Linked DNA regions of Rhinolophus ferrumequinum. The protein of the gene in region 3 interacts with the protein of the main gene of each other region in a pairwise test. Links are inferred from orthologs where the notes say so. Each region holds a gene or a part of one and is shown on either strand. Other genes may lie near its edges.

Region 1 (7,941 bases), on a different chromosome or scaffold from region 3:
TCTACAGCCCATGGCATTCATCTGGGCAGAATTAAAGGTGATTACACAATCTGCAGCTACTTGTGAGTTCAAACTATTTAATTGGGAATGAGGGAGATACAAATAACAATTTTCCCTCTTGCTCATTTTTTTTCTCTTAAACAAAAGATCTCCCTATTGTCTGATTTTCCTATTACTCTGAAGGTCTTTGTGTCCTCCAAAGACTGAAACTCTAAATGAGCATCTTCTGGGTCCTATTTACCAGGAGCCCTTTGCCTTTCCAGGGAGGGAAGCAAGTCCCTCAAAAGGCCTGTCCCATATCAGAGGTGGGTCCCACTGGCTGCAGAGCCTCCATTGCCCTAGGGAGGGCTGAGGCTGCACTCAGAGCTCCCCCCGGGCATGCCGGATGTAGTGTTGATGCAGCCCAGCTTCCTGGGCAAAGTCCTGACCACACTCAGTGCAGGCGAAGGGGCCAGGAGGGTCGCGGGTCTTGTGCGCCTGGCGGTGCTGCCTCAGAGAAGCGGCCTGCCCAAAGGTCTTGCCACAGTCAGGACAGGGGAAGGTGGGCTGGGCAGTGGTGGGTGCAACTGGCAGGGAGGGCCTGGCGGCTGGACCGTGGCTGCGCTGGTGGGCGATCAGGGCCTTGGAGGAGAGGAAGGAGCGGGCGCAGGTGAAGCAGATGAAGAGGGCCCCCTGCAGCTTTTGGGCCACGAAGTCCGCTGGGTGCTCCCGCTTCATGTGACGCTCCTGGAACTTGGAATTGGCGAAGGTGATGAGGCAGCGGGTGCATTGCAGGGCCCCCAGATGGCCTGAGGGACGTGGGGAGAGGTCGGGGGAGGCCAGCAGGAGTCTCCAGGACCTCTCCCAAACCCCAGAATCATGCCAACAATTAACATTCAGTGCTTACTATGTGCCAGGCTGTATGCCAGGGCTGGATAGTGGTACAGGCAAATTATTATTGGACCTGTTTTACGGATGATCAGGCCGAGGCTCCAAAAGGTTGGGCAACTTGTCCACAATCATGAGGCTAGGAAATGAAATGGAGTCAGGACTGGAACCCAGGGAGTCTGCCCTTCCATCAGAGCTGTGTTATTTACAGCACAGCCTCTGGAGCCAGACTGCCTGGAATTGAATCCTGGCTCTGCTACTTCCTAGGCAGGTTCAACAGTTTCCTCATCTGGAAAATGGGGTTAAACCGTATCAGCATCTACTTCATAGGGTTGTTGTGAGGAATAAATGAATGAATTTATGTAAAGTGCTTAGAATAGTCATACACCATGGTTTGCAATTCTTACTATTGAGAAAGAGAAAAGCAGCCCCACAGCCAGGAGCCGGCCTGGCACTCACAGATAGGCTCCTGTTGAACATACACAATGTCACAGAACATCCCCAGAAAGGCTACTCTCTGACTGACATGAATCCAGACAACAAGACCATGCCATGATAGCATGTGAACACAAAATGGGAACATTTTCCAAGCCACAAAAATGACCAAATACCCTCCGTCCTGGCTAATATATGAGTGACTTCTGCTTTACCAATCACAGCTTGTGCCTTGCTTTGTTCCTCTGCCTTCTAGATTTTTTAAGATAGCCGACCATTCAATTGCCCCTGCTTCCTGTCACTATCCAATCCAGAGCAAAACCCTTTGAATTCTCCGCAAAATCACCTACCACAAACCCAAATCCTATAATCAGTCCTTTGTAACTATTACTGGGATGCCCCACAGTGCCCCCATGGTGTGTGGTGTGTGCTTCCTCTGCAGTGAGCAAGCAATAAACCCAACTTGTCCCACTACGGGTGTGCTCCTGCGGGGGGAGGGGGTCTTTGGCTGGAGGGCATTGACACTGGCTGTCATTGTTATAAATACTTAACCTGTTTGCCACATCTGAAAGTGGTAATAACCAATTTCATGGTGTCTGTTAGGAGGACTGAATGAGATAAGGAGTGATAGTTGCCTAGCACACAGCAAACATTCAGTAGAAACTGTTGCCATGATTATGTCAAACTGGCTACCTTCATTAGCCTCAAGCTTTCCTCTGTTCTGCTGCTAATCCCCGTAACAACCCTGTGAGGTGAGTAGTGGAACCCCTTCTGACACATTGGGAAACCAAGGCCCATGTTACACTGACAGTCTGAGGCAGAGTTGGGACTGGAACCTTGGGGCTCTTCTCACAGTCTCTGCTCTTTCCGTGCCACATCTCCCACCCCAAGCGTCTCTGGATGCCACTTTGCCCCTCTGAACTGCATTCCATTCATATTTAGGTGGACAAAGCAGGGTGGGTGCATCTGAGCATATGGGTAAGGATGGGGAGTGTCAGTTTCTGGTAAGGCAGCTCCCCAACAAGTGCCTGCAGCGCCTTGGACACTGAAATACTGTAGAAATCCTTTTAGCATCAGCTCCTGCACCCCACCCTCCTCTGGCCAGCTGTACTCACAGATGTCGCCTTTGGTACTGCGGGGACTCCTCTTGGACAAATCCTGCTGCTCCATGGTCTCTTCAGGGGGTGGGTCCTCCATGGTGACTAGGACCCCTCTGGTCAAGAGAGGAGTACACATGAGGAAATAGTAAATCAAATGAAGTCGCTCGTCTGTCCCCAGCCTTAGAGAGCCCGCTAATTCGATGACCTTTAATGTAGAGGCTCTCCGTGCCAGCTTTTGACTCCCCCCCTTCCCCGCGAGATACCATTTCCTTGAACTCTGACCTGATGGAGCTCTCACTAGAGAAGCTTCAACTCTCCCAAAAGATTGTGACTCCCCTGAGCGCCATCTCACCTGTGTGAGACCTAAGACCTACATCAGACTAGCTCCCTGAATTCAGAGCGCGGAACCCTTGATCTTTGACACCATCCTCCTCCCCGTCTCCTACCTGTCTTGAGACAGGTAGTGGTACCCACGCTTTAGCCCGCCTCGTCCCGGGAGACATCTTTCTCTGACATCCTGCAACTTGTTCCACCCAGAGCCCCCGCCTCCCACGCGCGATTTCAGCCGCTGTGCCCACTGCTTCAAGCACTGCCCTCGGTTCCCTCCCCAGGTTGGTAGCTCAGGCCTCTGCTTTTCTCCAGACAGCAGAGGGCTGCCTTTCGTTGTGCCTGTCAGTAGCCTGTCACAGCGCCACCACCCGGAGGGAAGCGGGATAGGGCCCACCGAGTCGCAAGGTCCCGGTGGTTTCCACTCCCTTTCGCCTGGTGAGCTTCTCGAAGCCGAGATCTCGGATTGCCAACCGGCAGTGATGAAGTCACTCCTACTCAGTCCTCAAAAATAACGGGAGGGGTCCTTCTCTGCACAGGGGTGCGTTATGATGACGTTACGAGACCCCCGTGCCGTACAGCTCTAAGTTTATTGCGCAAGGGTGCTAGGCGCTCCTGGCGCGCAGGCGCTCTGGCTCCCTCATTGTTTCCGCCCTTGCCGCAGCCGGAGTTCAGGAGCGAGTGCACTTCGGTCGTTCTGCGCAGGCGCTGGGAAAGGCTGTGTCCCTAAGATCATGCTTCCAAGACACACCTCCTAAAAGGAGTGACGTAAGGTTAGATAGAGCCTGGATCCTGTCTAGACATCCCCAAATCCCGGTGCTCCACCCTCTTCGGCCTCTGTCCGCCCGACCCAGGGGCGGGCTTCTCAGCCGCTGACCCACTGCCGGCAACTGCGCTCTTCTGTGTGAAGGCTGTTTGCTCGGTTGGTGATTTGGGAGGCGAGGGGGACTGAAAAAAAAAAAAAATCTGTCCCTGAGGGAGGACGGGGCTGGAGGCCGGATTTCTGAGTTTTTGAAACAGAAGGGGAAACACATCCAGGAAAAGGCCTGGATAGGACTCGGGGTCCCTGGGGAATAGGGTCTGGGCGCCGGTTTTCTAGATCCTTGGGAGTGACAATCGAGAATGGAAGGAAGGGGGCAGGGTGGAGGACTAGGAAAGAAAATGGCTGGGTCTTCCTGACCTGGGTCTTCCTCACCCCTTGCTTCCCAGCTATGCCTCCGCCGCGGGGTGACGTGACCGCCTTGTTCCTGGGGCCTCCGGGTTCGGGAAAGTCCGCGCTGATCGCAGCGCTGTGCAACAAGGATGTGGAGATGGTAGATATCCCCGATGGACGGCCGGATCCCGGGGTCCCCAGCCTGCGAGCTGCGGGCCCAGGCCTCTTCCTGGGCGAGCTGAGCTGCCCCCCCGCAGCTCCGGGGCCCTGGGCCGCGGAGGCTAACGTGCTGGTACTGGTGCTGCCCGGCCCCGGGGGAAATGGCGAACCCTTGGCTCCAGCGCTGGGGGAAGCAGCGCGGGCCGCCATGGCGCGAGGGACCCCTCTGCTGGCTGTGCGGAACCTCGGTCCTGGGGATTCACAAAATGAAGCCCAGGCCCGGGATCAGACAGCCGCCCTGCTGAACAGCACGGGGTTGGGAGCCGCGCCTCTCTTCGTGCTGCAGACGGACTGCGGCAGCAGCGACAGCTGCGAGGAGCTGGAGCGCCTGCGGGGAGCTTTGCGGAGCCAGGCGGAGGCGTTGCAGAGGTGAGCGCGGCCTTTCAGTGTGGGTTGGGGGGACCTGGTCCTATACAGTCTAGACCTCACCCCACTGAAGTGATTTTTGACGTCTGCGAGGCCCCGCCCCCAACGAGTTTGGGACTAGCCTTGACGGGATACCTGCTGGAGGCCCTGCTCCCGCATCCAGGTCCCGCCCCTCAGCGCAGGTTTTGAGGTCAGTGAGGCTCCACCCAAGCGAGCGCTCTGTGCTTAACTCTTCTGTCATCTAGGCCCGGCCCTAGCCAGAGGCCAGCTGGAGGTCCGGACTTGTCATTCCAGGTCCCACCTGTGAGCGCTCTGTCACAAGCCCCACTTCCTAATGAATATTCTAGGAGAAACCAGGACCTATGGCCAAAATACTACCTCCAGGCAAAAGTTTGAAGGAGAGCTCACCCTCCCACCACAAGCTAGTGACCCTCGTGAAGATTTTACCTAAAGACTTGTACACTGTCAAGTCTTCCTTGCCCGCGCTGTCAGCTTGGTTCTCAAGCCATCCCAGTCGCCCAAAGCCACACCCTCAGTGAGCCTTGTTATTTCTGGGTGCTCTCCCCCACTTCCTTTTTCTAATCCCCTCTTGTTTCTGTGCCTTCTTGCTGGCTACCTCCTGAATTGTCTCCCACAACACGCAGTCCCCTCATTTCATAGATATTAAAAATGAGGGTGGGAGAGGGGCAACCCCTCCTCCAAGGCAACCTCTCCTCCAACGGCACCCCACTGCTTCTCTTTTTTCCTTAGCCACACCTCCTTGGTAGGAACTAGCAGATGAGGCTTCTCCCCTGGTCTTTATTCCTTTCCTTACACCCAGTCTCAGGAAAAAGTGTGCTTGGTGACTTTGCCCATGTCGAATAGTGAATAGTACTCGACTTTCATTAAGCCCACAATACAGTTGGGATTCTGTCTTTGCTCCAAAGCCCACTTTGTGTGTTTTGCCTCGCCCAGCACGGCCTTTTTTTGTTAACCTTGCAGGTCCCATGGAGAAGCCCCGCCCCCAAGTACTCTGTCTCCGGGAGGATTTAGGCGGGGTCCTGGTTTTAGGCTCTGTGAGAAACCTGATCTCAACAAGACGCCCTATTCCTGCTTTAAGCCCTATCCTTTTCTTTATAGTCCTGGTTTCTGTCGGCTGTGCCATTATTCGACCCCCTCCCTCCCTTTCCTGCTCTTGCCTCACGCGGGGATTATTCACAAAGCTCCACCCTTGTCATCATAGCCCAGTCCTGTCCCCCTAGCCTAGTTCTCCCGCGTTTAGCCTCTTTTGCCCTTGACTCCATCCTTTCCTGTCCCCGTAGGCTCCTGCCACCTGCTCAGGATGGTTTCGAGGTGCTGGGCGCAGCAGAGCTGGAGGCTGTGCGCGAAGCCTTTGAGACCGGTGGTCTGGAGGCGGCACTGTCTTGGGTTCGCGGTAGCCTGGAGCGACTGGGCAGCGCGCGGCTGGACCTGGCTGTGGCCGGCATGGCTGACGTGGGCCTTGTGCTGAACATGCTGCTTGGGTTGGATCCTGGGGACCCAGGGGCCGTGCCTGTTTCATTGCCCGCGGAACCCACGCCCTACCCAGCCCCAGAGCGCTCCAACGTGGTGCTCTGGACCGTACCTCTCGGCTCCGCGGGCACTGCTGCTGTCCCCCACCCTACCCATTATGACGCTGTCATCCTCGTTACTCCTGGGGCCCCCACTGAGGAGGACTGGGCCCAGGTCAGGCCCTTGGTGCTACCGGATGCACCGCTGGTCTGCGTGCGAACAGACGGCCAGGGCAAGGATCCGGAGCCTTTGGAAGAGGAGGAAAAGGCAGAGAAACCCGGCGGGGGCGAGAGCCTAGAGAACGCAGACGGAGGGGGGTTGGAGGAGGAATGCAGCGAGGGAAGGGAGAAACGGGGCACTGGATCACAGAAAGCAGGGAGTGGGGAAGGTTCAGAGAAAGCAGGCATCGAGAGTTTGCAGCAGGTTGGTGGCTCGAAGCAATCACGCAGCGGGGACTCGGAGCGTGCGGCTACCTGGAGCCCGGAGGACGATACATGGGAGGTACTGGAGGAGGCGCCGCCGCCGGTGTTCCCCCTGCGGCGGGGCGGACTCCCAGGGCTCTGTGAGTGGCTGCGACGCGCACTTGCCCCGGCCCAGGCTGGGGCGCTGCTATTGGCGCTGCCACCAATGTCTCCGCGCGCAGCCCGAACGAAGGTTGCTGCGCTGCGGGCTGGGGCGTGGCGCCCGGCTCTGCTGGCCAGCCTGGCGGCAGCGGCCGCACCAGTACCCGGGCTCGGCTGGGCCTGCGACGTGGCGCTTCTGCGCGGTCAGCTGGCAGAGTGGCGGAGGGCACTAGGACTCGAACCAGCGGCGCTGGCCCGACGCGAGCGCATGCTGGGCATGGCACCTGGGGAGCTGGCAGAGCAGACGCACTTCCCGGGCCCGGTAACGCGTGCTGAAGTGGAGGCGAGGCTGGGTGCCTGGGCAGGCGAGGGCACCGCTGGGGGCGCAGCGCTGGGGGCGCTCTCCTTCCTGTGGCCCGCGGGTGGCGCAGCAGCCACTGGTGGCCTGGGTTACCGTGCAGCGCACGGTGTCCTCCTGCAGGCGCTGGACGAGATGCTGGCAGACGCCGAGGCAGTGCTGGCACCCCATGCGCCTGCCCAGTGAGGGGTAGGGATCACAGTTGGGACTTCCTGAGTGCTCTGCTTCCTGGCTGCTTTGCTCCGCCAGGGGCTGAGGACTCCAAGTCCCGTGTAGAGTGAGGGGGGTTGGGGGTCCAGTCTCTGGCATGGGATATCTGAGCCTCTAAGCTAACAGCACCGGGCCAGGCACTTCAAATCCTGGGTGTTTGAATGGGATGAGGCTCTGACTACTGGTTGGGGTATGTGGCTTCCAGTCACCCGGATTCCTGAGTCTTGAAGGAGAATAGAATCTGGAGGTCAGGACTCCTGATTATTCTGGGGATCACTGGGCAGGACCCCCAGACTTGTGTTCTGAGGGGAGTTGAGGGGTTGAACTCCTAGAAGAGGGTATATCTTGGTCTTCAAGGGAGTAGAAACTGGATCTATTATTGGATGTCTAGTCCTCCAGGGGGAGGGGGAGAGGAAGCCCTGATTCCTGATAAGGGGCTCTCCATGTGCTGGGGATTCCAGTATGGAGGACTGGGTCTGGGAACTCCAGGGCGCTGGAGCCCCTGGACTTTGAGCCACAAAGAGACAGGTCTGTGTTTCCTTAGAATAGGCCTGCACACAGCCTCCCAGTTCCTCAAGAGGCAGTGGGCTTTGAATCATCATCGGGGGAGAGGGGAGGAACAGTATGGGTCCTCAGACTCCTGGATCCCAAGAGGACTATGGACCTTGGTTCCTAATTCCTGGATAGTGGGAGGTCTGCATCTAGAGGGAACGGGCTGTGTGACAGCTAGAAACTTGGGCCTTTCTTGATGAGTAGAGGGATATTTCATATTTGCTCATCGGGGCGAGGGTCCTGGTGACCCAGACTCCTTTC
Region 2 (7,056 bases), on a different chromosome or scaffold from region 3:
CCGGGCTAGTGGTGTCCGTGTCACAAATGCCACTTGGCTCTAAGTCACCTGTCACAGGCAGCCCCCACCCTCTGCCCTTACCCCCTCCAAGGAGCCAGGGGCTACGGGCCTGAGCTCAGGACTGAGCCCTCACCTGTGGGTTAGGCAGACCCGGCTGTACGTGCCCTGCCCTCCCGCAGAGCCGAGCAAGGTGGCGGGAGTCAACACGGGGGTGCCAGGTTCTAGCCCTGCCCTCCACGCCCCTGGGCTGAGGCAGCATCTGGGCCCAGCCCCACACCCGAGCGCCCACGCTCACCCACCTGTGTGGCCTGGATCCTTGCTGTAGCCGAAGCCCTGGAGGGTGCCCTCGGGTCTGGACTGGGAGCCCATGCCTGTGGGAGAGCGCACGTCATCCTGGCATTGGGGCGGGGGAAGACCCCGAGCCCCCAGGATGGAAAGCCCGTGACAGGCCTGCACACGGTGGGTCACATACCTGCTGGAGGCAGGACCCTGGGAGACTGGGAGGGAGGCGGAGGGGCCAAGGCGTCCGAGAACAAGGTGCTCCCCAAGTCCTAGACAGGAGGCAAGGGCACTCAGCGGGGCCGCACGTCTGCCCAGCGTGCCCCCACAACCCTGCCGCTTTCCCCAAGCGCCAGCCACACACGGGGCTCTGGTCCAACAGCAGGAGTGCAGCTGGGGTGACCTGGGTCCTCGGCTCACCTGGGCGGCCGCCCGCACCTTCTGGTACAAGCTGCTCCCATGGAGAGGGTCCGGGGGCCCAGTGAAAACTGCAGGGCAGAGGCAGGAGGGGCAGCATTACGGCCCGCCCAGGTCAGCCCTCCCTGCGTCCCGGCAGGGTGAGCTTTCTGAAACATTAGGTCTGACCTTGAATCCCGTGTGACATCACTTCCAGGCCCCCAAGCCTGGGGGAGCCCCACTTCCCAGAACACCTCCTCTGAGACCCACCGCCCCATGTGGCTTCTCAGACACGCACCATTGCCCCCTGGCCCTCTCTGCCCGCCCCCACAGGCCGAGGCCAGGATCCAACTTCCAGAACGGCACCACGGCGTCTTCTCACCCCACTGCCTCTCCCCGGCGTTTCTGCCTCGGCCACCCAACTGCCTCCCCTCAACCCTCTCTCCAGCCAGAGGCGACACGAATGGGGTCTTGCCCAATTCAAAACCCGTTAGGGGTTCCCAGGGACTTGAGGATAAAACCCCAAGTTCCTATCACGGCCTGAAAGACTCCTGTGGCCCTGCGCCAACCTCAGGCTTGCCAGGCTCCCCGTCAGAAAGCTTCCGTTGTGGCCAATCAGGTTGCCTCGGGGCCTTTGCACACGCCGGAGGCCCCCATCTCTGCAGGGACCTCATCCGCCTCATCCTTTCAGGCTCCTTGCTTCCTCATCACAAACACACGTCCCTGCCCAGCCCCTGGTGCCAGCCCCACGGAGTGCAGACGACGGCCCGTGCCCAGCCAGGGCTGCCCGTCAGAGGCCGAACCAGCCAGTGGAAGGCGAGCAGCTCCCTGCTGTCCCAGCCACAGCTCCCACCTTCCCCACAGGGCCCAAGACTCGAGCTGCAGGGGACCCACTGCTGGGGCCCAGACGCTCGGCCCTCCTGTGTGAGCACGGCCATCCTCTTTTAGCCTCGTCCCCAACCGCTCTGACAGCCCCTGGGGCCATGCTCAGAGCTCATGGGCACCGATGGTAACTGGACAGATTTTGGTGCCAACAAAGAACCACGGTCAGCTGCAGGTCTCCGATAAGCGAGCGGTGGTCAACAGCGGCCCGGCCCCTCCCTGGCGCTGCCCTCTCGGGGACGGGGACGGCTCGGGTGAGGGTGGCTCTGGCCCTTCCAAAGATTCCTTCAGGGTGCATGATGGGGTCCGAGGGCGGAGCGCCCCCTAGAGGGCCCCAGGCCGATTCCTGCCCCACCAACTGGGAGATCTCCAGCCACGGGCCCCCAAGTCCCTGTTGGCAAGACAGCACGCCGGTCCTGGCCTGGGCGTGAGGGATGGGGCCCCACTCAGACCCACCTAGGGCCTGGAACGTGACCGGCCAGCACCCACCTCTCCTGACCAGCCTCCCATGGCCCTTCCCTTGTGAGCGGAAGGCTTACTAGCTCGCCCTCGGTCTCGGGCCCTTAGGGGCAGCCCGGGGACAGAACCCATGGCAGGGGAGGGCGGTGTAGCCGTTTGCCGAGCACCACTGCGTGCCAGGCACTGGGGACAGATGTGCAAAGTCTGGCAGGGCACAGATGGAAACGGTAATGATGCGCCAGTAGCGGGCACAGCAGCAGACGGCAATGCCCTGGAGGAGCGGGATGGTGGGCGGAGAGGAGTGCCCACAGGTGGGCAGGCAGGCAGACGCTGGCGGAACAGGGTGAGGTGGCCGGCTAAGGGAGTCTGGCTGAAGCCTGTCCGGGCCGCCCTTCTCCCTGCGGCCCTCCCTCTGGGCTGTGCGGCCCCCACACCTGCAGCTTCCTGGATGAAGGCGGGATTGCGCTTGAGGATGAGCAGGAAGGAGGAGGAGCCATGAGCACACAGATGGAGCAGGATCTTCAGCACCTGCGGGCACAGTCACGGGGGGCTGGGCTGGGCCCCGAGGGCGCCTCGAGGCACAGCCCGACCACCCCCTCGCTCCTCATGGCCCCGGGCCGGAGCTCAGGCCCGACCTGGCCGCGAGGATCAGCCTGCAGGGCCCACTCACCGCCTCACCTTGAGCTTCACGCGGCCGGAGCCGCTGTGCAGACGGTTCAGAAGGTACTCCAGCAGGCACTGGCTGTTGCCCAGGGACTCGTGGGAGATTTCTGGGAGGCGCTCGGTTAGGGAAGGAGCGAGCTGAGCCCAGGCCTCGCCGCCGCTGAACTTCTCAGTGTGCCCTCCCTGCAGGCACCCATCCCAGGACCTGGTTTTAGGAGCGTCACGCTTTACAGTGTCCTGGGCCGTCATCAGGAATGTGGCTTTCAGACCCCGCCCACACCTTTACTATGGGAAAGGGGCCATGGAACCCCCTCCGGATGGGAGAACCCCAGGGACCCTGCGTGCTGCTCTGGGCCCCCATGTGTGGACACAGGAAGGATACTGGCGATCTCCTCAAACAGGTAGCCCGGGCACGGGACGTCATCATCCGACGTTCCCTTTAGGAGAACCGGGAGCTGAAAGGCAGCAAGAGCCCCGCCCATAAGTGACCGTTGTACACAGGGTGGCCCCACAGCCACCAAAGAGGCCGCCATTCCTGAAGGGCTGTTGGGAGTCCTAGCTCTTGGGGTTCCTGGGAGTATGGATTTCCACGTATGTCATTGTTGGCACGCCACCTGGTTAAGGCCCCGGCGAGGACAGCAATGGTCCCACAGCCACAAAGAGCCTGCTGGAGCCTCCCTTCTGGACCATCGTGGTAACACCACTCTGCTTGGGTCAGGATGTGTGACATGGCCCCCAGGCCTCTATGCTTACAGACATGCAAGACATTTTAAAGGCACCTTGAATACATCTACTTCTCATGTAGCAAAAACAAAAAAGCTCGGGGTGAGCCCCTTTTCCATGCAGGGGACTGGGAATGGTCCATCTTTCTAGAGCACAGATCGGCAAACGTGATATATCCACGAGGCCTGACCCCCCCCCAACAATTCCACTTCCGGGAACAGACCCCACAGAAATAACCCACAAGAAGTGCCTATGCTGTGTCTTACGTTTATTTGTTAGCACAAACATATTCACATGACGCGTGGACTCGTTAGCACAAAGACATACTGTCTCCAAGGATGAAAATCAGCTGGGGAGCGTGAGCCTCGGCGTGAGAGAGGACACAAGACCTCAGGGACACTCAGAATGCAGACTGTTAGGTGCTGCCACAGATTACAGTTTGAACAGCAGCTGTCTACAGTGTCACAACAACACGCGCCTGAATGTCACGCGAGGCTGCGGGCACACACCACTCACACCATCTGTCCACCGAGACCCACCGTGGAGCTGGAGAGGTCTGTAGAACCACGTAACTCTGGGCGTGGAAAAAAGCCTCTGTGCTAAGAGAACTGACCGGGCTTCTAGCAGCACGAGGATGACCCCAGCCCCTGTAAAACGCCTGCCTGAGAAAGCTCCTCGCGCCAGGAGAACTGACTGTTCACTCTGGCCAACACCGGGCGACAAGCCGCGACCTCCCTTTCTTGGAGCATTTACTGGAAAGGGCTTACAGCTGTGAACACGGATGTCCTACAAGCCAGGAGCGCCTTCCTCAAGGACCTGAACCACCATGAAGGCAGGGTCTGTCTCCCAGTCCCTGGGGGGCGATAGGACCCGGACCTCCGTAACCGCTGGTGGGCGGACACAGCTGGCCTGACAGCACTCACCCTACCCAGCCCCTCAACATGTGTCACGGGAGCCCCACTCTCCCCTCATTCTCCCTTTAAAACGCCCAGTCCTCTGAAACACATGGGAACGGAGCTCAGCGCCTTCCCCCACGGGCACAGTCACTGTTTTCTCCTGCTTCCCAGACTAGCGCCTGGCCATTGTTTATCCTGAACACGGTTCGCTGTGCTTCTCTCTGTGAAGCCGCTTTAAGCTGGGAAAGAAAACAGAAATCCGCGACCCCCAGCTCTCTTCCTATTCGGGTTCTGTTCAGTAGCCTGACTGTCCCCCAGTGGACCTGACGCCGGGTCGGCCTGACCTGCCCACGCCACGTACACGGAGTCGACTCCCGCAGCCTTGGGAGGGGGTGATGGGTAAAGGGGACTGGAGGGGCCGGGAGAGTTGGAATGGAGAGAAGGGGATCAGAGGAAAACGGAGGGGACGCCGAACCCGGGAGGAGCCGCAATTCGGTGATCCCGGCGCACCAAGGAGAAAGACAGCTCTAGCCCAAGTCAAGCCGGGGGAAGCGGCACGGAGCAGGGCCAGGCCGCCCGCACTCACCCGGTGCAGTAAGCTCAGGCGGTCCCGCAGCTGCGGCGTAGCCGCCATGATCACGGTCACCTTCCGGCCCCGCCCCACTTCCGTCCGTCCCCGGGCTCCTCCAATCACCGCGTGGGTCTGGCCCAGCTCACCAATCGCTCGCGTGGGCGGGCCCTGAGGTCTACTACGGTAAACAATTTGAGCCTGAACCAATCCGAAGTCCGAGATCAAAAACAGACAAGCATACAAGCCAATTGTAAGGCTCTAAGGGACCACACGCGCGGTTCCTGACAGAAGCCTGGCCAATTAGAAAGCGTAGGGAAAGTTATGGGCGGAAGCGTCGACCTATCAAGCTGTTGAGCGCCGGAAGAGGACGGACCCAAGATGGCGGCGCCCACGGATGCCAGGAAGAGCCGCTCATGTCCGGGAACGGAGTGGTGTGGGGGCGAGTGCGAAGCCGCCTCCGCGCCTTCCCCGAGAACCTGGCGGCCTGTGGGCGCGAGGTAAGGAGCCGTCGGGGTGGGGTGGGGGGTAATGCCTGCGGCGCAGGAAGGATCGCGCGAGACGGGACGGACAGCGGGGCGCTGACTGGGGGCAGGCGCGAGGGCCCCCGCGACCCTCGCCCGCCCCCGTCCTTCCCCCAGGCAGCGGCCTACGGCAGGTGCGTGCAGGCGTCCACGGCTCCGGGCGGCCACCTGAGGAAGGATCTTTGCGCGCAGGAGTTCGAGGCCCTGCGGAGCTGCTTCGCCGCCGCGGTAGGTGGGCGCCCCCCGCCGTCTCCCACTTCTCAGCCCCGCCTCGGGGGAGGGATCCGCTGGCCTTCCTCCCGTTCTTCCTGCGGGTGTTGGGTGCTCGCTGGTGCTTCAGACGCTGCACGCCGACCGACCAGCCCTCGCCGCGCGACCCCCGCCGCCACGGAGCTCGTGCATGTCATGAGCATGGTGACGGGGCGACGGCGTGGGTGCAAGCGCTTTGTAACTCCCTGTGGTGCTGTCGCCTGGGGGGAAAGCCCAAACCAACCTCAACCCAGGACTCCCAGCGGAGCACCGTTAGCGTCATTGGTGTTCAGCACCCCGCGTGTGTGCTGTGTGCGCGGTTTCAACCGCTGGTACCCCAGTGCTTGCCGAGGGGTTGCGTGGTACCCCAACTTCCCCCGCGCAACAACCCCATTTTACAGAGGGTGTAAGGAGAGCCCATAGGTCATTGTCCTCACAACCAAGGTGAGGACGGGCTGAGAAGCCCTCCAACCAGCGCGCTAGCCGGCTTTCACTGGCGTGGAAGTGGACTGTGCTGGAAACAGACTGGTCCTTCTCTTGGCGCTGGACTCTGTCCTGCCCGGTCATTCGACAGCAGGTCCCTTCTGTTTCTCAGCCAGGACGTTTTCTGACCCCTGTCTGATCAAATGCTATGCCAGCGAAAGCCTTGTGGAAATCCTCAAGCACTGTAGGCAAGTCAAGAACGTGTTGTGTTTACACGTTTTCATAAAGGACGTGGAGGAATAGGCTTGGAGGAGACACGGACGTGACCCGAGGCGGGAGAGGCTGTCCGGGGACCCTCAAGGGGCGTCCCACAGCCCAAGGACGGGCTGCCTGCCCTGAGGCTTTAATGCGCCCCAGGTGTCCCCACCCCAGGTGCCCCTGGCTCGGTGGGTCAGACGGGGGCTGTGAGGGCAGAGGCTGGCTGGGCAGCACTCGCGTCCCGGCAGTTTGCTGCTGCTCCGGGATCCGAAGCAGAATGGCTGAGAGCACATGGATGTCTGCTTCCCAGCTCAGGGAGGCAGTTCACATACTCACTTCCCGGGGGGCTCAGGGAACTCACGCACCTTCCTCAGTGGTTAGCGCATTGTCCTGCCCCCTCCAGTCACCGTGTCACCAGCCTCATCCATGTGGCTGTTTATCCGAGGTGGCACCTGTCCCTTGAACTTGCTCCTACCTCCTGGTAGCTTCCCTGCTTTGTAGCCCTCCCCAGGGAACAAGGCAGACCTCGCTCTATGGTTACCGGTGGGAAGGCTTCACGTGTGAGACAAAGGTCGAACACTCGTAGCTACACACAGGTCTTTCTGCACCACCTGTTGTGGGCAGTCAGGAGTGACCTGTTACAGGTGCCTGGTCACGTGACTTACCTCCCGCTCCTCGGCCTCCATCCCCTAAAGACATCCGAGGGAGGAGCCCCAGGCAGCCGCACATGCCAGAG
Region 3 (7,254 bases):
GATCTCACCTGGGCCCCAAAGAAAGGATTTCTCTAATCTCAGAAAATACCAAGCCCTGCATCCTCCTTAAAGAGACATGCACAGAAATAGGGCTACATTATTATTTTCTACCAAGGCTACGTAATATTTTACAAATGTGCAAGGCCAAATAAGTATTGATCAGGATGGATTACACTGAAACTTACCCACTTCAGATTCTCCGTGAAGATTATGCATCTTGGCACAACCAAGGACTGCCACCCTCCTGACGTATGAAGCCTTATCCCGCAGACCATTGAGAACAGGCTGTTGGATATATTCCTGCACACCCGGCATCCTAAGCAACACATCCGAGAGTCAGCCAGATCCTGAAATACTAGTTTTGACACAATTCAGCCCCTGTGCACTTAACAGAGGATTTAGGAGATTTTTGAATGTGCATCTATAAGATCATGAAGAATTGGAGAAAGCCGCTGCCAAACTTAAAAAGCCGTATTTGACTTTTCATTTGGAATAATGCTGCATCGGCAGCAAGAAAAAAACATACATAAATTGTTTAGATATCTTCAACCAAAACCAAAAACTATTTCACCTAGAGAATGGAAAACTCCCTTTAATGAAACCATATGATACAGCTTTTTAAGCCAAAGCAATGGCTGAAAACTTGAGTTCAGGTTTCAACAGTGTTTCCCCCACTATGAAGGAGCTCACGTAGACTGTCATTACTGAAAACCTGCCCCATGACCTCCAGAATTCATCAGCCACTAAGAAACAGACAGGAAAAGGATGCTCACCTGAGACTACACATACTCCGTAGTGCCAGCCCTCGCACCATTGGGTTGGGGTCCGAACAGTCTTTGCAGAGTGTATTGATGGCCAGGAGAGCCAGATCTGGTTTCAGGGGGGCATACGTGCACATGTACAGATAAACCAACTTCTTCTGAACGATATCTACAGTGGCACTCGCCTTCACCATTTCCATGAAAACACCAGACACGTCCAAGCCCTGAGTCATGTGCCTGAGACCAACACATAAAGCAGCAAAAAGTAAAATACCTCATTCCCAACCTACAACGGAGGGCATTTTATTTTATTCACGTCCTGGTTATCCAACTCAATTGTGATCTCTGAGAGGGAAGCAACCAGGTCTACCTTGTCTACTATATTACACAAAACACCAAAGGCCTGCAATAAACGGCCTTCTATTTATTCAAAGAACACTTATTAATTTCTAGTATATTTCAGTGAAATTCAGCTTTTACACTCCAGGGCTACACTCTGGGGACATAATCTTGAAAAAGGCACGGTCTCAGATCTCTAGGAACTCAGTGTCTACTAAGGAGCCAGACAAGACCACCACGAATTACAGTACGCTACATAAGTACTATGACAGAAGTCACAGAGGCAGTGAGGATCCAGAGATCTACTACTGCCAGGAAGTCATACAATGTTTCTACAGAGGAAGTAATACTTTAGCTGAATGAGCAGGAGCTCACCAGGCAGGTGTGATAGTACATGCTGTGAGGTGCGTAGACGCGAGCAAGAATGGTCCAATTCTTTGGAAAGTCTGCAGGCAGCTGAGTTAGCCCAGTGTCCCTTGGGTGCTACGATAAGTTTGGACTTTATTCTGTAGCTCACGGTTCCTCAAACTATGGTCTCCTATAGGAATCAGATGGGATATTTGTTTAAAATGCAGATCCCTGGGTTCCATCCCGCCGTACTGAAATCAGAATTACTGGATTGGATGACAAATTTGCGTTTTTTAAAAAAGCACCCCAAAGGACTCTGGTGCACAATGAAGCTTGTGATCCACAGGAGGCCAGACATGTTATGTTTAGATTTATACGCTGGAAAAATCATCCTGACTGAAATGAGGAGGCAATGTGACCTACTAGTATGCTACGGCAATTGCTTTGGTAATGAAACCAGGACGGGCAGCAGTGTCGAAAAAGGGGGGCGGGGGTGGGTATTTAGAACTATAAATCCATGCCATCTGACTTGAGAAGTGAAGATCAGGTGTCATCAAGATTGACTCCCACGCTTGGTCAGCTAGGTGGTGACATTCGTCAACACAATCGTAAGTGGAAGAGCAGGTTTGGGGAGGGGGAAGGATGTGGGTGCTATTTTGCATGTCTCTGGAAAAATATCCAGGTGGAAATGCCCAACAGGCAGTAGGATGTGCGGGTCTGACGATAAAAAAGGAGGTCTGTACTAGATATATTTATTATCGGTCTGAGAGTCAGCAGTGTGAGATATGGATGAAACCACCCAGATGAATAAACGAAGCCAAAAAATAAGTCTCACAAGGGAGGCTGAGATGGCACTCCAGGGAAGCAGGAAAACCAAACGATAGCACTGGCACGTGTGCAAGTTCATTTTCCCACGTGAGGTGAGACAGCCCCGATGGGACCCCAGCGGGGGAGTGAGGGCGTCGGGTGGTACCTAATCACTCGCTGGATGACATTCCGGTAGCGCAGCCTATCAGCCTGAATGTGAGGGTTGCACAGAGCCTTCTTCAGCTCCTTGACCACGTCCTCGGAGCCGAGGTACGGCATCTTCTCGGACAGGCCCGGGGCAATCCCCACAGCCCCCTAGGAAACTCGTGGGCTCCTTCCAGCCCCGATGTAAGAACCTGGGTAAAGGAAATGTCAGTCAGAGAAGAGACTACAGCCGTGACCTCGCCCCAGCCGTGGCTTCCCCAGGGATGGGCCACGCTCAAGCTTCGGTCCCCTCCGCTCCCCGGCGGGCCCCACCCTAGGCCCTCCGGTTCCTTCCGGGACCTGCCGGCCGGTTCGCTCCACCCACAGGTCTCTCGCACTACCTTTAGGCCCCCCGCTCAATTCCCAGCCCGGCAGCCGACCGTCCGCAGACCCCTCCCTCTCAGTTCCAGCCTTTGGGGTGCCTCCACGCGGTTGCCGTCACGGATAAGCCAAAGGACGCTTTCTGCGGAAGTCCCGCCTCCTCTTCGAGAGACCACGCAGAGCTGCTGCCACTCACCCTCTCCCAGAGAGCGCCGAGCGGAGCCTGGGCCCCGACCTGTGGGTGCCCTTCCCCCAACCTCTCACCTCCGGGCGCAGCCGCGTAGCTCCCTCTAGTGGAGCTGCAGCGGACGATCGGAAATCGGCTGCTTCGGCCTGTCTCCGCCCGGCCGCGCGCGCTTTGAGTGGAGGGCTCCGGCTCCCGCGCGCGGTTAGGCATGGCGCTCTACTGAGCGACTTCCGCGGCGTGCGATTCCACCCCCGGACTCCACTAAGCATGAGCACTTCCTTCTTTTTTCTGCACATTCTAGTGACTGATTCCTCTTTGGGCTGGCTTTCCCTTAGGTTCTCTGGGCCTGTTCTTGCCACAGCGTGACTTTTTTCAGGGCCGTTGTAGGAGGCTCACGCAGGAGCTCTATTCCTATGAAGACCCCATTGGTGGTTCCAGCGCCGCCACCATGAACGGAGTCCAGATCCCCCATACGCCCATCGCTGTGGACTTTTGGAGCCTGCGCCGGGCTGCTTCCGCACGGCTTTTCTTTCTGTCCCACATGCACTCGGACCACACCGTGGGGCTGACTAGCACCTGGGCCCGACCCCTCTACTGCTCCCCAATCACTGCTTTCCTCCTGCATCGTCACCTACAGGTATGGGGGGGCTGGAGTCGGCCTCCGAGCGCTGGTCTAGGGATCAGGGTGGGGACTGCCGATCTGTCACTGCCTTGGAGTCCTATGGACCAGGAGGGACTGATTGTTACAAATGCGGGAGTTGGAACCCAGAATTGCATTTTTAGCCCAGGATAGAAGTGTGGCTTCCAACTGGCAGGCTGGGATGTTACAGCTGTAAGTTAGGGAGATCTTCTAGTCCAACTAAGGAAACTCGTTCCACCTTTTCACATAAGCTAGGCCAGGATTTCCCAAACTTGCGGCATCACAAGAATTCATCTAATGTTTTGGGTAGATATACAGATTCTCCAGCACTTCGTCTCTTCCCACTTGCGATTAAGTAGATAATAGCTGGTGCCGGTCCTGGAAATATGGTTGGAATTTTTAAAAAAGATGCCCCAAGGTATTATTATGATAAGGAAAGTTTGAGAATCGCTGTCTAGATGGTCAGCATTCCCTGATTTCGGAAAGGGATAATTTCTGGGCCAGGGAGGTATCAGGGAGGGGAATCTGTGTTGACGGGATGACCAATTATTTATTTCCTCAGGTATCTAAGCAGTGGATCCGAGCCCTGGAGGTTGGTGAGAGCCATGTCCTGCCTCTAGATGAAATTGGGCGAGAGACCATGACCGTAACCCTAATGGATGCCAACCACTGCCCTGGCTCTGTCATGTTTCTCTTTGAAGGATACTTTGGAACCATCCTCTACACAGGTGGGCCTCTGAAGGGGTCCCTCCTACCTTCCCCACTTAGACACTACTTTTCTTGAGCAGCCTTAACTCATAATAGATGTCTAGAGGTCTCCTAGCTTCATTCCATGCAAGCATTCCATTCCATTCCTTAACTGAATTCCCACTCTTTAAGGGTCCAAACCTTGTCATGAGTATGAAAAAAACAGGAGCAAGATGGAGACATATCCACAAGGAAGCTGTACTCTACGTATTTGTTCAGTACCAGACTCTAGGATAGCTTTCCACAGGCCAGTAAGCAAATGCCCATCTGTTGTTGGAGAGCCTTGTGTTTTATACTTTTGTCTCTGACCCTCTGACACCATATATTCTTTCAGGTGATTTTCGATATACACCATCCATGCTAAAGGAGCCAGCCCTGAGCGTGGGGAAACAGATCCATACCTTATACCTAGACAACACCAATTGCAATCCAGCTCTGGTTCTTCCTTCCCAAGAAGAAGCCGCCCGCCAGATTGTCGAGCTCATTCGAAAGCACCCAGAACATAATGTAAAGATTGGTGAGTAGTTTTCTTTCCTGTTTTTTTCACCCACAGCTAGTACATCTAGGTTTGGGGGCAGATGGGGAGTCCTCACATCTTTTAAGGCTTTGTGCAGCTCTCCCGTTCTTCACGAAACCTACCCTGACCATGTTATTTAAAGTTGCCACCTGTCTACCATCCCTACGCTCACAGCCCCCACTTCTGATCCCCTGCATCAGTTCGATTTTGTTCATAGCACTCGTCACCTTCCCACATACTCTGTGTTTTAATATGCTATTGCTATTGTCTATCCCCACTTCCCGTGGCACGCACACACCCCAACATAAAGTCCTTGAGAGCATGGGTGGAGGTGGGAAGAAGCCTTGTGTGTTTGTAGAAGAGAAGCAGCAGCTAGTGTGACAGGCACACAGTGGGTGAGGAGGCTGGAATGGCAGGAGGGGCTGAAGTGCTTGTAAGACTTTTTGAACTTGATCCTAAATGCAACCATTGCTCTTAGGACAAAGAGCTTTGATTTCAGTAACAGAGGGACAATAGTGCACTCGTCACCTTACAAGGGATTCCATCATTTACGTATTTATTGTATTTAGCTTTTATTATCTGCCTCCTCCTGCTAGACTGTAAGTTCCACAGTGGCAGGGCTCTTTGTTTTACTAACGGATATATCCCAAATGCCTAGATTAATGGCTGATGAGGCATTCCATAAGTATTTGCTATGAGTGAATGGAGTTTATCAGTATGTAGATATTCAAGTCAATGTTGTGCTTAAAATTAGATACACTGAAAACCCAACCGTATGCTTGTTCTAGTAATTCCACAATAGTACAAGACATTTTGGGGACTCTTCTTTTGGAATTGCCTTTTAAGATAGTTTATGAAAATCAATTATTGTTTTTAAAAATGTAATAGATCTAGTTCTAAATTTTTTTATTGTTTACAAAATTATAATAAATCCACAAAAGGAAAAAGATTTGCGCCACGATGAATATTTTAAAAGTATATGCCCCATCTCTGGAAGGAGTTTCAAAGTAGAGTTAAACAAAGTCATTGAAAAAAAATTGTACACCTTCCAGGGTGGCTACCAGATTAATTGAGAAATATCCCCTCCTCTCAGGACTGCTAACTATTCTTAGAGTTTTCTTTTCTTTTTAATTTATTGGGGCGACAATTGTTAGTAAAATTACATAGATTTCAGGTGTACAATTCTGTATTACATCATCTATAAATCCCATTGTGTGTTCACCACCCTATTCTTAGAGTTTTCAATGCAGAGTTTTCCCAGAGAAGCACAGCTGGCTAGGAGGGTGCTGTAGTAGGGCTTTATTAATTTTGCAAATATATAATAAGCCCCTCCTATGTGCCAGGTATTCTGATAGGCAATGGGACTAGAAAGATGAATAAAATATGAGGGCTTACAGTCTAGTGGTAAAGGACCTAGAAGAGGTTTAAAAAAAAGGTGGGGAGGGGGCGCAATAGGGAGAGAGAAAAGAAAATCAGCTATATTCGTGCCATGATGAAGAATCAGGTAGATATAAAAGAAGTATAAGTTGTTTAAAGGAGTTCACAATCTGGTTATGGACTTGAAACATACCTCCAGAAAAGGCCTGAAAACAACTGTGAAACAACATCTCCCATATCTGTTACCGTAACCATTACCCAAATTCAGGCCTCCCTTTTTTTCTGTATAAGTATTGTGTGGGTTTCCTAACTGGTACTTCTGCTTTCAGTGTCTTCTTCTCGAGACCATTGAATAACACTGCTGCCACATTTTTTCCCCCCAACACCCTGATTATATTATTCCTGTGATTTGAATGAGCCGTTTTCCTGCTTCAGACTCTTCAGTGGTTCCCCTTCACTTACAGAATTAAGTCCACGCTCCTTAGCAGTACATAAAGGCCCTGTATTGTATGACCCCTCTTAGTGGCATTTCTTATCAGTACCTTCTTTGTACTTTAGTAACACCAAACTGACCTCTCTCCAAATGTTCTCTACCAGGTTAAGTTGGACCCATCCTTTAAGACTTAGCTCAGTTGTCATTTTCAGGAAACTTTCCCTCTGTCAATGGGTAGATACGTTTCTGTGCCCTCATCATGCTGTGTGAATGTCTCTAATTAACATTGCCCTTAACCACGTGATTTCTGGGTTCCCATGTCGATTAGCTCCTTGAGGACTGAGACTTTTTGTTTTCACACTGCTTAACACTTGCTAGATACTTTCCTTTGTTGAACTGAATGAATGAGTGGATTCTGTGTTAACCTCCCTCTACCCCATTCTCCATATATTATAGCTCAGCTCAAATGCCATCCTCTCCCTGATGGACTGATTGCCCTGTTAATTTTGTGTATTTTTGTTAACTGTTTGGTTGAAGTATTAGGATTTCCTGAGAGCTTCATTCTCTTCCTAT

What was found.
Region 1: the proteins of AP4B1 (region 3) and ZNF576 interact in binary tests that used the Homo sapiens proteins (3 or more experiments, as listed by UniProt). The two-hybrid records come from large-scale screens. The link is inferred for Rhinolophus ferrumequinum from reciprocal best matches to the Homo sapiens genes AP4B1 and ZNF576.
Region 2: the proteins of AP4B1 (region 3) and TEPSIN interact in binary tests that used the Homo sapiens proteins (3 or more experiments, as listed by UniProt). The link is inferred for Rhinolophus ferrumequinum from reciprocal best matches to the Homo sapiens genes AP4B1 and TEPSIN.

What each region holds. Positions count from the first base shown.
Region 1 is NC_046298.1:40,635,807-40,643,747, reverse strand, and holds the start of ZNF576 (zinc finger protein 576), read right to left. Parts: upstream 3,037-7,941; 5' UTR 2,906-3,036; coding exon 2,877-2,905; exon of another isoform or gene 2,861-2,876; intron 2,828-2,860; exon of another isoform or gene 2,685-2,827; intron 2,516-2,684; coding exon 2,418-2,515; intron 1,007-2,417; exon of another isoform or gene 789-1,006; coding exon 361-788; 3' UTR 1-360. Other genes in the region: IRGQ (immunity-related GTPase family Q protein), read left to right, coding at 3,941-4,470, 5,769-7,104. UniProt on the Homo sapiens protein: May be involved in transcriptional regulation.
Region 2 is NC_046304.1:54,242,521-54,249,576, forward strand, and holds the start of TEPSIN (AP-4 complex accessory subunit tepsin), read right to left. Parts: upstream 3,051-7,056; 5' UTR 2,929-3,050; coding exon 2,695-2,928; intron 2,545-2,694; coding exon 2,451-2,544; intron 768-2,450; coding exon 700-767; intron 552-699; coding exon 473-551; intron 372-472; coding exon 300-371; intron 1-299. Other genes in the region: NDUFAF8 (NADH dehydrogenase [ubiquinone] 1 alpha subcomplex assembly factor 8), read left to right, coding at 5,283-5,366, 5,508-5,618. UniProt on the Homo sapiens protein: Associates with the adapter-like complex 4 (AP-4) and may therefore play a role in vesicular trafficking of proteins at the trans-Golgi network.
Region 3 is NC_046305.1:44,783,801-44,791,054, forward strand, and holds the start of AP4B1 (AP-4 complex subunit beta-1), read right to left. Parts: upstream 3,064-7,254; 5' UTR 3,045-3,063; intron 3,035-3,044; exon of another isoform or gene 2,977-3,034; intron 2,953-2,976; exon of another isoform or gene 2,801-2,952; intron 2,612-2,800; 5' UTR 2,535-2,611; coding exon 2,422-2,534; intron 1,639-2,421; exon of another isoform or gene 1,476-1,638; intron 999-1,475; coding exon 774-998; intron 317-773; coding exon 186-316; intron 1-185. Other genes in the region: DCLRE1B (5' exonuclease Apollo), read left to right, coding at 3,416-3,604, 4,170-4,335, 4,689-4,871.